Anolis sagrei: one gene and its partner. The protein of the gene in region 1 interacts with the protein of each later gene in a pairwise test. Links are inferred from orthologs where the notes say so. Each region holds a gene or a part of one and is shown in the gene's direction. Other genes may lie near its edges.

Evidence for each region.
Region 2: the proteins of LPXN (region 1) and HOXC9 interact in binary tests that used the Homo sapiens proteins (3 or more experiments, as listed by UniProt). The two-hybrid records come from large-scale screens. The link is inferred for Anolis sagrei from reciprocal best matches to the Homo sapiens genes LPXN and HOXC9.

Annotation. Positions count from the first base shown.
Region 1 is NC_090021.1:234,535,652-234,543,468, reverse strand, and holds the start of LPXN (leupaxin), read left to right. Parts: upstream 1-4,637; 5' UTR 4,638-4,978; coding exon 4,979-4,991; intron 4,992-7,817. UniProt on the Homo sapiens protein: Transcriptional coactivator for androgen receptor (AR) and serum response factor (SRF). Contributes to the regulation of cell adhesion, spreading and cell migration and acts as a negative regulator in integrin-mediated cell adhesion events.
Region 2 is NC_090022.1:189,328,046-189,336,116, reverse strand, and holds the start of HOXC9 (homeobox protein Hox-C9), read left to right. Parts: upstream 1-4,902; 5' UTR 4,903-6,465; coding exon 6,466-7,024; intron 7,025-8,071. UniProt on the Homo sapiens protein: Sequence-specific transcription factor which is part of a developmental regulatory system that provides cells with specific positional identities on the anterior-posterior axis.

The DNA of each region.
Region 1 (7,817 bases):
ATCTCATTATCATTTTCATCAAACCAGTCTTGATGTTTCTTAGTTTGATATCCTTTTTAACAGGCTACAATGATAGAGGTCTTCAGTTTATTGTAAAGCTTGGCCGCTCACTGAACATCGAGAAAACCAAAGTGCTCTCCCAGCAGTCACCAGCCAATCACTCTTCAATGCCAGAAGTACAGCTCAGTTGTGTAACATTAGAAAACGTTGACAATTTCTGCTACCTTGGCAGCCACCTCTCCACAAAAGTCAACATTGACACCAAAATGCAGCACCGTCTGAGCTCTGCAAATGCAGCATTTTTTAAAATGAAGAAGTGTTTGAGGATCAGAACGTTCCTAGGAATGGGAAGATGCTTGTTTATAAAGCTGTTGTACTCCCAACTCTCTTATATGCCTGTGAAAGGCGAACCATCTACAGATGTCACACTCAACTTTTGGAACGATGCCATCAGCGTTGCCTCCAAAAAATCCTGCAAATATTTTGGAAGACAGGTGGACAAACGCCAGCATTCTGGAAGAAGCAAAGACCACCAGTATTGAAACTATGATCCTCCACCATCAACTTCACTAGGCTGGCCACGTTGTCTGAATACCCGATCACCATCTCCCAAAACGGTTACACTATTCTCAACTCAAGAATAGAAAATGAAATGTTGGTGGACAGGAAAAGAGGCTTAAAGACGGACTTAAAGCTAACCTTAAAAACTGTGGCATAGACACAGGGAAGACCTGGGAGGCCCTGGCCCTCGAGCATCCTAACTGGAGGTCAGCTGTGACCAGCAGTGCTGTGGAATTTGAAGAGGCACAAATGGGGGGTGAAAGGGAGAAACATGTCAAGAGGAGGGCACATCAAGCCAAACCTTGTCGGGCCTGTCTTCCATCTGGAAATTGATGTTCTCACGGCTAAAAATCATGTGGATCTAGAATAGGTCTCTACAGTCATTTGCGGACCCACCGCCAAGACTCTTCACTTGGGAGGCAATTATACTCATCCGTTAGTGATAGCCTATGATGATAATCCTGTTGCATTAAAAAGCAAATTGTATTGTTTATCAGTACCCATCACATGGTGGTGTTCATTGCTTTTCAGATTTATCACATGAGTGAGTACAGTTAAGGCAGACCCCATTTATCTCTATGAGTTATTCTGTTCTCAATTTTTTTATGGATTGCTAACTCTAGTTTTTAAAAAAGTAAAGAAAAGACGGGAGAAAGTTCAATTTCAAAAGGTTAGACTCAAGTGAACGATCTCCTGAAGCATTGCAATTTCTACTGACTACATTTAAGAAAAAAAACTATGGCTGGATTTTGGGAGATTACTGGGGCATCATTGCTTTGTAGAACACCACCCTAAGAACGCCATTCCCCTATGCAACCAAATTGATTCAAGTCAGGTGAATTTGACAGATCCCATCCCACATGTTTTTCACTGATTTCTCCAGTTTTCAAGCAATTCCTGAGCTCCCTGTCAACTGTCCACCCCCCCCCCCCCAGTTTCTTTACACTTTCAAAACAGTTCCCTAACTAAGCATCATGAATAATAGGGGAAAGTCTCCCTGTGTTGTGTGATAGGGTCGGTTTTACTTCTCTTTAATGTTTAAGAATTGTTTAGAAATGGAAGGGGTGTGTTGAGTGGAATAACATCCGTAGTCAAGGAAGCAATGGTCCTGAATTTGCAGGGCTGTAGATCATAGAATCATAGAGTTGGAAGAGAACCTCGTGGGCCATCCAGTTCAACCCCCTGCCAAGAAGCAGGAAAATCAGATTCAAAGCACCCCAACAGATGGCCAGGATGTATTCATTCATGACAGGACGTATTCATTCATCTGGTCACCGTAAGTTGAAGCCAACTTTGATAGCCATTAAGAACAAATTAATAACAAGAGGTCTTATTTTGGTTGCAACCAAATAACATGGCTACTAAAAGTGACTCAAGAAATGGCCATTAGCCAGTTTCTTTCAGGAAACCCATAACCAAGGCATGTGGCCACCTATTCTCTTGTTTATGTATTCTATTGCTATTCCAGTTCTCTCTCAATCTGAAATCCATGTTTAAAATAAAATAAAATTTGGTGCCAAGGTTTTAAAACCATTAAATAACCAATCCAATGAAAACATTAGCTTGAAACAGTTAAAATACATACTTTAAAATCAAACAGCATGTTAAGAAGCAGCACACCCAATACACACTCTTTTCCTTCAAATAGTTAAAGGTTAAAGGACTGTTTGAATATGGTTTTTGCTTATTGGCAAAAAGAGAGCATAGGGACAAACTAATCCTCCCTTTAGCAGGAATTTCATAGCATATGAGAAGCTGCCAAATGGGCCTGTGAAAGAACACTATCCATCCCTTGAAGAATGTAATAGTTGTATGATAAAGAACATCCGCAGGCATTATTATTATTCAGCTGCAGTCATGCTGTACCAGCCTTGTGTGATTGCATCCAAAGCCTTTCCTTTCCTTGGTAATTTTGTACCACATCACTGAATTCATGCAGTGAGATTTCTGTCAATAGCTATGTGTGTATTTATTTAAATAATTTTAAGCTGCACTTCAGCTAAACTCTGATCTTTGGCTGGAAAGGTTGCCAAAGCAGCTTACAGCTCAATCAAAAGACTTAGTCCTCAAGCTTACCATCAGAAACAAGACAAAAAGAAAGGGGGGAGAAGGAGGAGGAAAGAACTGAAAAAAATCTAAGTGTTAATTCTTCACTTTACAAAGTTCTTATAATGATCAGCGGAAATAGAAACAGTTCAGCTGTTCAGGGAAATGAACTGAATACATTTAGAGCCTTTCCACATCACACAGTGCTATGATTTCACTTTCACTGCCATGACTTTATCCTATGGAATCCCAGGATTTGTAGAAGGTTGGGCATTTACAATTCCAAACCAGGGAATGCCTCTGATGTCCTTGAACAAACTACAAATCCCATGATTCTATAGGATGTAGCCATGACAGTTCAAGTGGGATCATAGCATTATGTTTGTGTAGTCTGAAAAGGCCCTTAATCTCACACCCCATCTACACTGCCATACAATGCAATTTGAACTAACCATATAATGCAGGTTAAACCATATTGAACTGGATTATAACACTCTACATTACCATGTAATCCAGTTCAATCTGCATTATAATGACTGTGTTGTCCCATTCAGACTACACAAACATAATGCTATGATCCCACTTGAACTGTCATGGCTACATCCTATAGAATCATGGGATTTGTAGTTTGTTCAAGGACATCAGAGGCATATAATCCAGTTTCATAATGTAGGTTGACTGCATCGAACTGGATTATATAGCAGTGTAGGCTCATATAATCTAGCTCAGTGCAGTGAAATCTATACAATTCTATACTGGCCATTAAAATCCAGTTCAAACAGCATTATCTGGCAGTGTAGATGGGGCCTCAGAGTCAATGTAATGGAAAAGTCTCTGGTTCTCTTTTCTACTTCATTCTGATGGAAAGACAGCATTCGGACACCTGTTGAATCTGAATCACTTGACATTTCTTTTGCCTTTGGAGAGATCCTTTTTGAGTTCTTTACAATCTGGATTTTCACCTGTACAATTAATGTTGTGATTGTTAGTTTAACTATTTTTATGCTTCCTCTAAGCCTAACTCACTTCATAATATTGTTTCATAATATTTTTCTACCAATTTCATGTAGAGTTGTGATTAGATTCCTCCTTATTTCCTAGGGCCCTTACACATCCATGTAACCCAGAATATCAAGGCAGAAATTCCTACAATATCTGCTTTGAACTGGGTTATCTGAGTCCACATTGCTATATATTCCAGTTCAAAGCAGAAGATGTGGGATTTTATTCAGCTGTGTGGAAGGGGCCTTAAGTTTCCTTCCCTGACTCTGTTGACAATGTTCCAGTCTCCAAATCAGATATGTGCTCATACGCTTCCACATTCTACTACTCAGACAAAATTGTTGAAGCACTAACATTGGCTTGACATTGGGTTATGGGCCCAGTCTGCCCTAGTATAGCACAGTATTGGCAAGTAGGAAGGGCACTCTAAAGTCCAGTACTTTGAAATTCTTGTTTCATGTGTTGTTGTTTTTTGTGCTTAGTAGAAAGTAAAAAACCAGTCATAGCACAGCACATGTCCAGTTTGCCATTTGAGCATAAAATAAAATAAACACCTTTTAACTTTTTCACTTCACCCCTGAGAACAACAGAAGATGACAACTTACCTGATAAGTTCTGCTGCTGTCCTGCTGTAATTGTAATTTGATAAAATTGTGTGGTAAAGCCCCAAGAGCAAGACAGCTTCTAGTCCAAGCCAACTATAAATAAACATTGCAGCCACTGGATACACTTCTTCCCCCTTCCACCTTCTGTAATTGTGTGATGATAGGGCCAACCTTGCTGAGGCTTTCGAGGAATGGATAATTCCCATCACAAATATAAAGAGATATTATAAACTTTAGAGAAAAGTGCATTCAGGCTGCAGAACTAAAACAGTAACTTCCAAGCTTTGTGAATGTGTGTATAAAACTGACATTTAAGTTTTTAGCATCTATCAAGCAACAACCTCCTCCTCAGTCAGTCATCATCCCAGCAGGAAAGAAAATCAAAGAGTGCTTTAACCTCTGTTCATAAAATGCCATTACTTGATACAGCAGGATAAGTTCTTTATCGACAAGAAAGATAACCCAACTGTCACGTTGGATTTGCACATATCTGAAACAATCAGATTGCTACCACTTCCTGTTCAACCATTTAAATGCATTTTTTAGCTTTTCAAAATGTGACTCATTAGGAGGGGGAGAAAAGTGCTCAGCTTTGAAAGAGGGGAAGTCCTGGTAGAGAGAGGAACTAAAGAATTCTGTAGAAACCACTGCTCCACGCATTCACCATCTTGTTCATTTCCGCCTTGGTTCTACGGCTTGGGAGGCATGTCATTTTGAGGGGACCCTCAAGCTGGTTAGTCAGACAACTTCTGTGCAAATAAGAAATGGACGACTTAGGTAAGTAGCTCTTTCTCCTCAACGGCCAAAGAGCAAAGACTAAAGGAATGGGATTTTTAATCTCAATGCAGAATAGTCAAGGATATTGCATTTTACTTAAATTGTCTTTCATGGGAGGGAACGAGGAGAATTACGGAGGTGAAGAAATCAAGCAACTATTGCAGCAATGTCCTCTGTCAGAGATTTTGAGTCCTTTGACAGCCTTGTGACAAAAGCTAAATTTTTGTCTCACAGACAGTTTATAAAAAAGAAAAAAAGGAAATGCAACAATCTTACTTGGGCCGCTTGCGTTCAAGAAGAATAAAGTTGAATTGGAACAGAAAAACTTTCATAATTAGAGAAATAAGAATTATTACCTTAGAAGTGAAAATTAAAGTAACTTGTTCTAATCAGTTCCTTAAAAATAATTTACAAATATTATTGAAGGTAATATCAGAGATGGAGGAAGACTATTCAGAGAAAGCAGTTGTGCCAAAAATGGGTTATTTACAAATAACAAATTCTAACTGGAAAGCGGGGGGGGGGGGGGGGGGGAAGCATCCTGTTGAATTGAGAAGAGGTTCAGAATTCTAGATTACGCTGGATAAAATCATTGAATTTCCACATTCACTTCTGTATTCTTAGAATTAATGCAGTTTGACAACACTTTAATTACCAAGACACAATACAATAGAATCCTGGGATTTGTAATATTGTGGGGCACTAGACCTCTTTGGAAGATGTGGCTAAAGACCTTGTAAAACTACAACTCCCATGATTTCATACAGTTGAGCCATGGCGGCTAAAGATGAATCAATTCCACAGTCTAGATGCATCCTAGACTACTGCAGATCAGCTGTTGCTATCAAAGAGCAATGAGAGACTACAGGAATCAAGAGCTTTATTGAAAAGAATCCAATGGGTTGTTCTTATATATACAACAATGCAGTATGGTGGACTGATTCTGCCCAGTTTCCTCTTTCATGCTTCTAGATCCTGTTCCCTATGTAGCCACCTGTCCTACATATGGATAGACTTGAACACAAGTAAAGAGAGGGAGAAAAACCCTATCCCCAGCCCCCCCTGCCCCAACTATGGATACAACTAAACATGCACCTCTTCCTTGTCATCATAATTCTATAATTAGTTAATATATTAATTTTGTCAGCAAGTGGAATTTAGTTAAATCTGGAATGATAGACTAACATGTTCTTTACTAATTGTTTTTCCCCATCTCATTACAGCTTGTGAGGGGGCAGAGGGTTTTTTGTGTGTTTTGTGGTCTTGTTATGTATTCCTTAGTGGGTTATGCCTATTATAATGCATTAATGCTTTAGTAATGTGTCATATGTTTAGTTTAGCGTTGAGCTGTTTAGGTTTATGTGGTGAAGTGTGAATTTTAATCTAGAGTTATGTATAATAATAGATAGGTGTTTAAAAGGATACGTATTTAAACTAGCATTATTGGGGGGGGGGGGCGGTAGCCAGCTTAGCTCACTCTGAGCTGAGTTGCCATGGAAAAAGGGGCAGAGCCAACTGCTACTTGGCAGGCCAGCCATTTTTAGACAGTTAGTCTGTAGTCAGCGAACTACAGGGAAGGCTGGATCTGTTGTGTGTTTAGAACCAGAAAGGTAGTATGTAGTCTAAGAACTACAGGGAAAGGCTGATTCTACTGTGTTGAGAATCAGGAGGGTTTAGGCTTTTAGCCTGTGAGGTTTAGATAGGTCAAGTTGACTTATATAGATTAGTGGTTAGTGTATGAGTAAAAAGGGTGAGAGAAACCCTAATAAGAATCTTTACTGCAACAGAAATAACATAAGGAAAGAATAAGCTTGTACCTGAAGTAACCTGTTAAAAAAAGAAACACATTTTGAAGGAAAATAAGTTTGAAACCTGTTTAGTGGAAGGAATAGTAGTTTAAAGAGTTGTTTTATGAAATGTTATCAATGTAACCACTGAAGAAATGTGCCTCTAAGAGTTAAGAAACATTGAAACCATCAAGCTTCTTCTATACTTCAATAAATTGTTACAGTTTCTTCTAAAGCCAAGTTACAAATACTTTTAAGTTAAGCCACGCTACACATTGAAGAAAGACCAAATCAATATTACAAGCTATCAGTTGTGTTATCAATTTAATAAGTCCTGACAAAGTGGTGACTCCTTTATAAACTTTTACAAACTGGGTGCCTCCTTTACAAATTGGTGGCATATATGGTATATATGAATAGTCCTTCTTTTTAGCTTCCTTTTCTTGAATGCTGTCCACTTTGTTTAGAATTTATTTGTTTCTATTGAAACTAATTAATATCAATAAAAACAATGTCATATGAACCATATGCAAGTAAAATATTCACCTTGATGTATTCTAACATATAAGCTGGAATATATGATAAGGAAGATACCAAGTACAGTAAGATCCCTGTAACCACAGGGAATACATTCCTGGACAGAACACAGTTACATGAAACCTGAACAACAGAATGCCATTACATTACCTCACTTTTGTTCCAGCATAGCATAGAGTTGCATTGGAGGACATAGAGATACCCTCTTTATTAATTTGCTAGTTCCTCCAACACAACTCTATTGCAACTTAGAGGGGAAGTATACCATAGAATTGTCTATAAGACCTAGAAAATTCGTAGAGAACTACCCCCGACCCCAAGTGCAAATCTGCAGGTATAGGTTCTGCCTTACAGAGTTCATAACTATACCTTTCCAAAAGCAAATAATATAATGTACCATTTATAAGGAACTAATGTAAACTGTTTAGTAACAGATTCTCTGACACACCTTCAAACATCACTGATTTTTATCATTTTCTTTTGGGAGTGTGGAAGCTGTATG
Region 2 (8,071 bases), on another chromosome or scaffold:
CTGAATTTTTCCCAAGAAGGACAGGGCAACCACGCTCCCATCCACTGGGTCCTGAGGTTTAATTGCACTCCGGAATTTATTGTCTTCTACTGCTCCCAGCCACAAAAACAGTCTGGAATCCAAAGTCATAACATCTGACAAAATTCTTCGCAGCAAACCAGGGGGCGGGAGGGAAAGGCAGGAAAGCCATTAAACAGGTATCAACGCCTCCCGAGTAAATTTCCCTGGGATGAGCATTTGAGCATTTTCTGGGGTTGCTTCCCTCCCTCCCTCTTCCCCTTTACCCTTGAGTTAAACATAAAGATCACGTCCACTGGAAACAAACCTAAGTGTTCAGTTGCCCGCCATTAAAATACTGGTCCCGGAAAATAAAATTCAAAACTCATCAACTCAACAACAATAACAAAACCACACCTTGATCCATATATTTTTAAGAAATAGAGGTGAATTTCTATGTCCAATTCAGCTACTCAGTTGCAAAGTTCTCCTTTCCATGTTACTGTTTACATAGCTGTCTAATATACTAACACTGCTAGTATTTTTGCTACCACTAGGCTGTTCGATTTTTTCCAAAAATATATTATTATTGTCAGACATCTACTAGCAGTATAGTGGTGTACATATTGCATTTGGCTTTCCATGATAATTTTGGGATCAGGTTTAGGAAGATATAGAATCAAAGGTGCCAAGGAGATTGAGGGTAGGGTTATCACTCTTTTTTTGTTGTGTTGTCGAAAGCTTTCATGGCCGGAATCACTGTTTGCTGTGAGTTTTCCGGGCTGTATGGCGATGTTCCAGAAGCATTCTCTCCTGACATTTCTCCCACATCTATGGCAGGCATCCTCAGAGGTTGTGAGGCCATAAATGTGGGTGAAACGTCAGGAGAGAATGCTTCTGGAACATGACCATACAACATGGAAAACGCACAGCAACCCGCCCTCTGTATTGATACCGTTTCCTCCCTAAAGGGAGAAAGAGAGGGGTGAGGTGGGAGAAAGAGAGGCTGGGAGGGCGGTAAAATCAAGAGAGAAAGAAGGGTTTAAAAGAAACGAACTGATACATTAAATGCATTGCTAAGCCCCTCTACTCGGAAGTAAGCTTTGGAAGGGCCCTTCCTCCCAGGCAGGCTGCAGAGCTCCTTAAAGGAAGGGAAGGAGAAGGAGGGGGCGGAGTGGGGAGTGTGGAGGAGGCTGTTCTCTGCCTTACTCCGCATGGGGAAACTTCAAGGCGCGGACTTTATGCTTAGTTTGCTTTCACTTATGAAGGGCTGTCAACACTGCAACGCCTCGAGTTTACAGCTGGGGAGGCCTCGCAGGGGCTGCGAAAACCCGGGCCAAGGAAAAGAGGGTGGAGGGGGGGGGGAGTAAATCGGAGGGAGGGAAGGGAGAAAAGTGGGATTTCTTTTCTTCCTTTTTTAATCCGAACTTGACGGTGTTTATTGAACCGAGTGGGACACTTAGAGCGAAAGAAGGCGCCACAGGAGGAGGGGGAGAGAGGGATGTGTACCAGGGATGGTGGTACGTTGCTGTGCTCAGAGTTTAGTGGATGCAAGAAGGGAAAGGGGGAAAGAAAAAGACCCCAGATACAACCCTAACCGCCCCTCCGCGAAACTGGGTTCGGCCGCCAGAGACGCACGGGAGCCATTGACCCAAGAGGCCTCCTCCGCTGCTTCCTTGGGACCAAGGCATCAGCTGACCGGTAGCCCCAAGGCGTTTGGGGGGGGGGGTGGCTGAGGGCTAGGGCGCTTCCCTAGGCCTGGAGCCGGTCTCCAGGAAGGGATGGTGTCCGGTAATTGAGGTAATGGAGGCCTGGAGTGCAGAGGAGAGGAGGGATGCTTCAAGGCAGCCAGTGCTTTGGAGTTTGGAAGGAATAAGGTGGTGGCTAATGCAGAGAGGAGGAGAAGGTGAAGCAAAGTTAGATAGGCTTGGAGTCTTGTCCTTTGAAGCAAGAGGAGGAGTCTTCTGACAGAGAGACCTGCAGCGATCCAGTTCTGTGCAGATAAAGATGGGAAGCCTCAAGGAGAATTGTGAGTGTATGAGTGAGTGTGTGTGTGAGAGAGAGACAGGCACTGCATGGGTCTGCGTGTGTAGGAGACTTATTTTCCAAGTTTCCTTCCATGACAAGCTTCCTTTAATCACACAAATATTATATACATATAATACATATATTATATACCCATATGTATATAATATTTGTGTGATTAAGGGAAGCTTCTCTTGGAAGGAAACTTGGAAAATAAATCGCTTACCCTCCTAACAAATGCAGATACGGACAGTGTCTCTCTCTCACACACACACTCACTCACACATATATACATATATATGTATTACATGCATATAATGCATATATATGCATTTTTAAAATGGCGGAAGTAGGTTTGGGTCTCCTACTTTTTAGGCTCACAACCGAAGAGGATCAATAACTATCATCAATCCAGGTCACTCCTCCCTCTCTTGTCATTCACGTCACAGATGACGATTAGAACCCCCCTCCCTTGAAAAAATGCCTGAGATTTAAAATACATTGTTCTCCAAGAACGACCCGCCTCCTAAATAAAATATATAAAAATATATTTAATATTTATTTTATTTCGAGGTGAAGGGAACAGGAGACGCTGGGATGGGCCACGTGGTTGGGAAGGTGATTGGCTTCTATGAGAGACTGAGGGGAGATGCTCCTAGAAATCATCTCAGTCTGTTGCAGTGGCAGGAAGGAGCAGAAAGGTAGTCCCTTCTGCCCTCCAGGTAATTAAGAATTAGGTTATGGATGCCAATATTTCCCCTCTTTGTCCCGCTGGGGAAAAATAAATAAACAAACAAATCTCCAAAAGAAGAGCATTTCAGAATATATTTTTCCAAGGAAGTTTCCTCAAACTGGTAAAATCAGAGGCGTGAAGACACAGACCCGGATGATTTTTCCCTGCAGTTTCCTAGGAGCAGGCGGTGCTGAAGAAGGCAGTGTAGCAATGTTCTGCTCCTTCTGTCTCCAAGCCAGAAGGGTCTCCCATCTCCATCTCTGCGGATCTCTGCTGCTCTTTTCCTCTCTGTTGCGACGGCGGCTGGCTCCCGGTCGCAGGACCCCTTGAACGAGGAGGGCTTTGCACTTACAAGCCTCTTAGTAGGATCGTTGGCTGTGAACAACCTGCCAGCGTGAAAGGAAACTGGCTTGGCGTTTGCCATCTTCTTTGTCTTCTTCTTAGGCTGCAAGGCTTTCTTCCCTTGGATCGAAAAGGCACCTCTCTCGGCAGTTGGGTTTCTTTGGGAGGTGCTCCATCCAGCAATATTTGAATGACCTTGCTTGGTTGCATTAAGGTTACCAGCAGGGTTTACTTTTCCACGCCCTCTCCTTCACATGATCCACTCGTCTTGGCGTGTGTGATATTTAGGTTAGGCTTTCTTGCCTTTCTGAAATTATTCTTTTTTCTTTCTCTTTCTTCCTTTTCTACACAGATAGGGAAAATCAGTGTGTGTCTGCATTGGCTCTGTGTGTGAGAAGGAGATAGAGATTTCCTCGTTCATTCCCTGCGCCTTAGTAAACAGCATAGCCTTGGAAGATTTATATTTATATATTTGCCCAGAAAATTGGATTTCTTCCTGGAACTCGAGCAAACGTTGAATCCCTCCCACATACTGTATGTGTGTATATATCTTTGTGTGTGTGTACACAGTAATATAATATAAGAATATAAAATAATATAAATATAATAAATATAATAAATATAATATAAATAATATTATAAATATAATATAAATATAATATAAATAATATTATAAATATAATATACCTCCTCGCATTGTGTGTGTACTCCCTGCCCTGAATTTGTGCACAGAGGAAACATTAAAAAAACAAAATGGTAAAATAATAAAAAAATACAGAATGAAATCACGCTCGGTTAGGAACTCTGCTTTACGAATTCAGATGAGGGGAGAAAAAAGAAGTCAGTTGAGACCTTTGATTGACAGATAAATTGAACTCCAGGCAGGCCAAAGGACACCTTAAAAAGTTCCTATAGGAATATTTCCCTGAAAGAAAGTGCGAGGCTAAAAACGGTAGCAGAATAGCAGGCTGGCGAGGAGAAGGGGGAGTTCAGATTTCACAGCAAGACTGCTATCGAATCTGGATTTCTTGGACACACATGCACACCCCAGAGGGAAGAGAGGAGCACATCCCCATCTCTTTCTATTTAAAGGACGCTCCTTATGGAATGAAATACTGTTCCTTCAGACCAGTTAGGGAAGGCTGGGCTGCAGTGAGCCAGGACTCCTGAATTAAGATGTACTGGGAATCTTGAATCAGCTTTAATCAAGCAACTTTTCCAAAGTCAGAATAATAATAATAATAATAATAATAATAACAACAACAATATCACAGCAACCCAATAATAATAACAACAACAACCACAATGACACTCAGTAGGGCTAATAATCAAGATGATGACGGAAGAAGAAAGAGAAAGAATTTCCCTGGATTTACTTCATTTTCTCCTCCTCAGATCCCCCGAGCAAGGTGTCTAAAGGAACCCATTCTTGTTCCTGAGTCTATGGGGAGCCTGGCGCTGTGTGTTGGGGTGTCAGTTCACTGGTGGATCCTAGGTCCCTGTGGGACACATCCCTTCTCTTTCTCTGCTTCTCTCTGAGACCTCCATACCGTTCTCTGCTTCGACTTTTTCTTGAACCTCCCTCTCCTTTTGTTGCAAAATTACCGCACCTCCAAGCCGATTCTGCTACATACACTGGAAACTGTGAATCCTCTTTGACAACGTCGGGGGCAGTGGGGGAGTCTTTTCGTGTTGTTGTCCTTTTGGTGGTGTTCTTGGTGTTGCACCATCCAGTCAATATTATTATTATTATTATTATTATTATTATTATTATTCTGACGCAAAAACACAGTATGTCATAGCAAATGAGATTATTATTATTATTATTATTAGGAGAGAGCTCTCATTTTACAGATGTTTTCCCCCAGAAGAAACAAGCAACTCTATCCTTCCAGATTTCTCAAGGTACAAGCTAAATAAGAGACACCTACTACCTTATTCTGCCAAAGAATTGTTGTTATTTGTAAAACACACATAGAAAGAAGTCTTCAGGTGGAGTTCTGACAGCTATTTGGTAAAATGGGGAGTGGGTTGCATAATAAGATTAATTTTTGATTTTTCTTCTGCTGGTGATGGAGATGATGATGGAAGAAGACAACCCAAGCTCTTCGAAACAAGCACCCTCCCTGTTTCCACATGCAAATGTCCCTCACTCCCAGCCATGCCTTCTCACTGAAACTTCCTCGTACAGTTTTATTTAATGAACGACACATTTATGAACAATCAAATGATCCTCGTAAAAATTTTATTGAAGGACATAAAAACATCCACCACTACTTGCAGAATAAAGCTGCCTCACACAAGAGGAGAGTCCTGTGTTGTTGTTGTTTTGGAGTGGGGGGGGGGGGTTGTTATGATGATATTTCCATTCATGTTTTACAAGGTCATCCTCCCTGAAGAGAATCAACACACTCAAAGACAAATAAGCACCCATGCATATAGATAGGTATACATAAAGAGAAAGGCATGTGATGCCTAGAATGTCTTGCTGCTAAGTAGGTTGACAAATATGCATCTCAGGGTGAATGACAAAAGGTCCTTTGATCAGCCAGAAGTAGCTGACTATATATAGTCACATACATGAATATATATATAGATATATGCAACACACACATACATATTCATATGTGGGTGCTAGCAGGCGTGCATAGAGAAAGAGAAAGACACCCCTAAATGATTATATATCCATTCATGGGCTGCTGCTGCAGAAGAAGAAGAGATGAGCCAGCAGAGCAAACTCTGTCAGGACCTTCAACCGACCCCCTCCTCCTTTGCCCCTTTAAAGAAATTCCATGTAATGTATCCATTATAGAATACTAGCTGGAGAAGCCAAGAGAGACCAGACAGAGACAAATTGCGTCAAGAAATAGTTCCTGTGATACCTTGCTACACCAGATACCTAGCCCTCGCACACACAGGCACACAGCCTCTCTCTCCCTCTCTTTCTCCCTCTCTCTCTCTCTCCCCCCTGTCTCTCTCTCTCTCTCTCTTTCTCATTAACAGCAGAGCTATGGAAAAGCCAGGTCGCAGAGCGAGCCCTCCAGCCAGCGAAGGAACAGAGTCGCCTCTCAGCGAATGGCACGTAAGACCCAACTGCTGCTAATAGCTGCATTATTTCAAGAGTTTTGATGAAAACCTAAGTCGCATAGGCGCTATTTAAAAAGAGAGAGAGAGAGAGAGAGGAAAAAAATTGAAAGCGAGGGGGAAAAAAAAGACCTGCGGATTGATCTACACTGTATTTTGGGTAAATACAATCACGTGAGCGCTGAGAGCCAATGGCAAGCGGGGAAAGGCTGAAAAAATAATTACCTGCCCTGATTGTTCTATGAGAAGATAAAAAGTACACATACAGTTCATACAATAATCTTATGAATGTAAAAGAGGGGGGAACAATGTCGGCTTCGGGTCCCATAAGCAACTATTATGTAGATTCCTTGATTAGTCACGAAAGCGACGAACTGTTGGCATCCAGGTTCCCGGCGACTGGCTCTCACCCTGCGGCAGCCAGACCGTCAGGACTAGTACCGGAGTGTGCCGATTTTCCGTCCTGCAGCTTTGCCCCCAAACCGGCCGTGTTTACAACTTCGTGGGCGCCCGTGCACTCCCAGTCGTCCGTGGTCTACCACCCGTATACCCACCAACCTCACATTGGAGCTGACACCCGGTATATGCGCACTTGGCTGGAGCCTATCTCTGGCGCGGTTTCCTTCCCAGGTTTTCCAACCAGCAGCCGGCACTACGGGCTTAAACCCGACGCCTTCCACGGCCGCAGGGATTGCGGACCCGTGGATGCACGTAGTTACCCGGATTATATGTACGGATCCCCGGGAGATCTCAGGGACAGAACCCCGCAGACTATTCCCTCCCCGGAATCTGAGGCCATCGCTTCCAACAAACACAAAGAAGAAAAGACCGAATTGGACCCTAGTAAGTCGAAGTCATTCTTGTTTACAACCGGGAAGGCATTACAGCCCTCCCTGGCACAGTACTCAATAAAATGAAATTACCTTGCTGTTTAGGATTCTTGGAGTCCTTGCCTTGAAGCTCCAACTGGACAAGGCTGGTGTGGTTGTTGTTTGGAAGGAAAAGGAAAAGCAGAGTTAGAAGATCAGCAGTGTTTTGGGGGCAGAAGGGAGGCAGTGAATATTGTTTGTGAATATTATTGATGATTATTAAGGGTATTATTAAGGTGGGTGGGTGTTTTTCCCCCCTTACCTTTTCCTTTTCTCACCTTCGCATGATCAAATATTCATAACCTACCATGCCCTCACTTCCTTGCCCTTCGTCCTTCAGACTTTTCAGGAATTTGGGAAATACAACTGACTGTGGCAAGGAGAGGTTATCTTAATAGTATATGCATTACTGCTATGATTATTTTAAAAGGAGATAAGGGGAAAAACCATCAGAGAAAACTCACCCTTGGATTATGGGTCAGATGGGCTTACATAATCCTAGAAGATGTCTGAAATGTTTGGGTTGGGAAAGAGAGACAGAGAAAGAAAGAAAGGATAAGGAATGACTGTAGATTATTAAAAGTAAAATTGAGCAAAATATATATATATCTGAGTTGAATAGATGGGAAATGCAGGCATGTGTGTAGGAAGAGAAGTGAACCATTCCTTCTCCCTCTGTCTTTCAAAAAATGTTCTACAGTTCAACTTGCCAGCCAAGGGAGCTAAAGGAAGAAATACCCTTGAACATAGTGAAAACCGCCGGTAGGGCATCCAAAGGATGTGTCCACTAGTAGTTTAAAAACTCATAATTCTTCTCCCCAGCCCACTGGTCTCTTCCTCGTGGACATAAGCCATTTAAGTGCAGGGGGAATTGTTTCTGGGCAATTGGAAGTCAAGGCAAAATAGTGGGGATCCAGCTCACCAAGAATGAATGTTCCCTTGTGTGCACCTCTGATTATATTTTATGTGTGCATTTTTGTGCATGTCCTACACAGAGCGAAAATGGGCTCACATGGACACA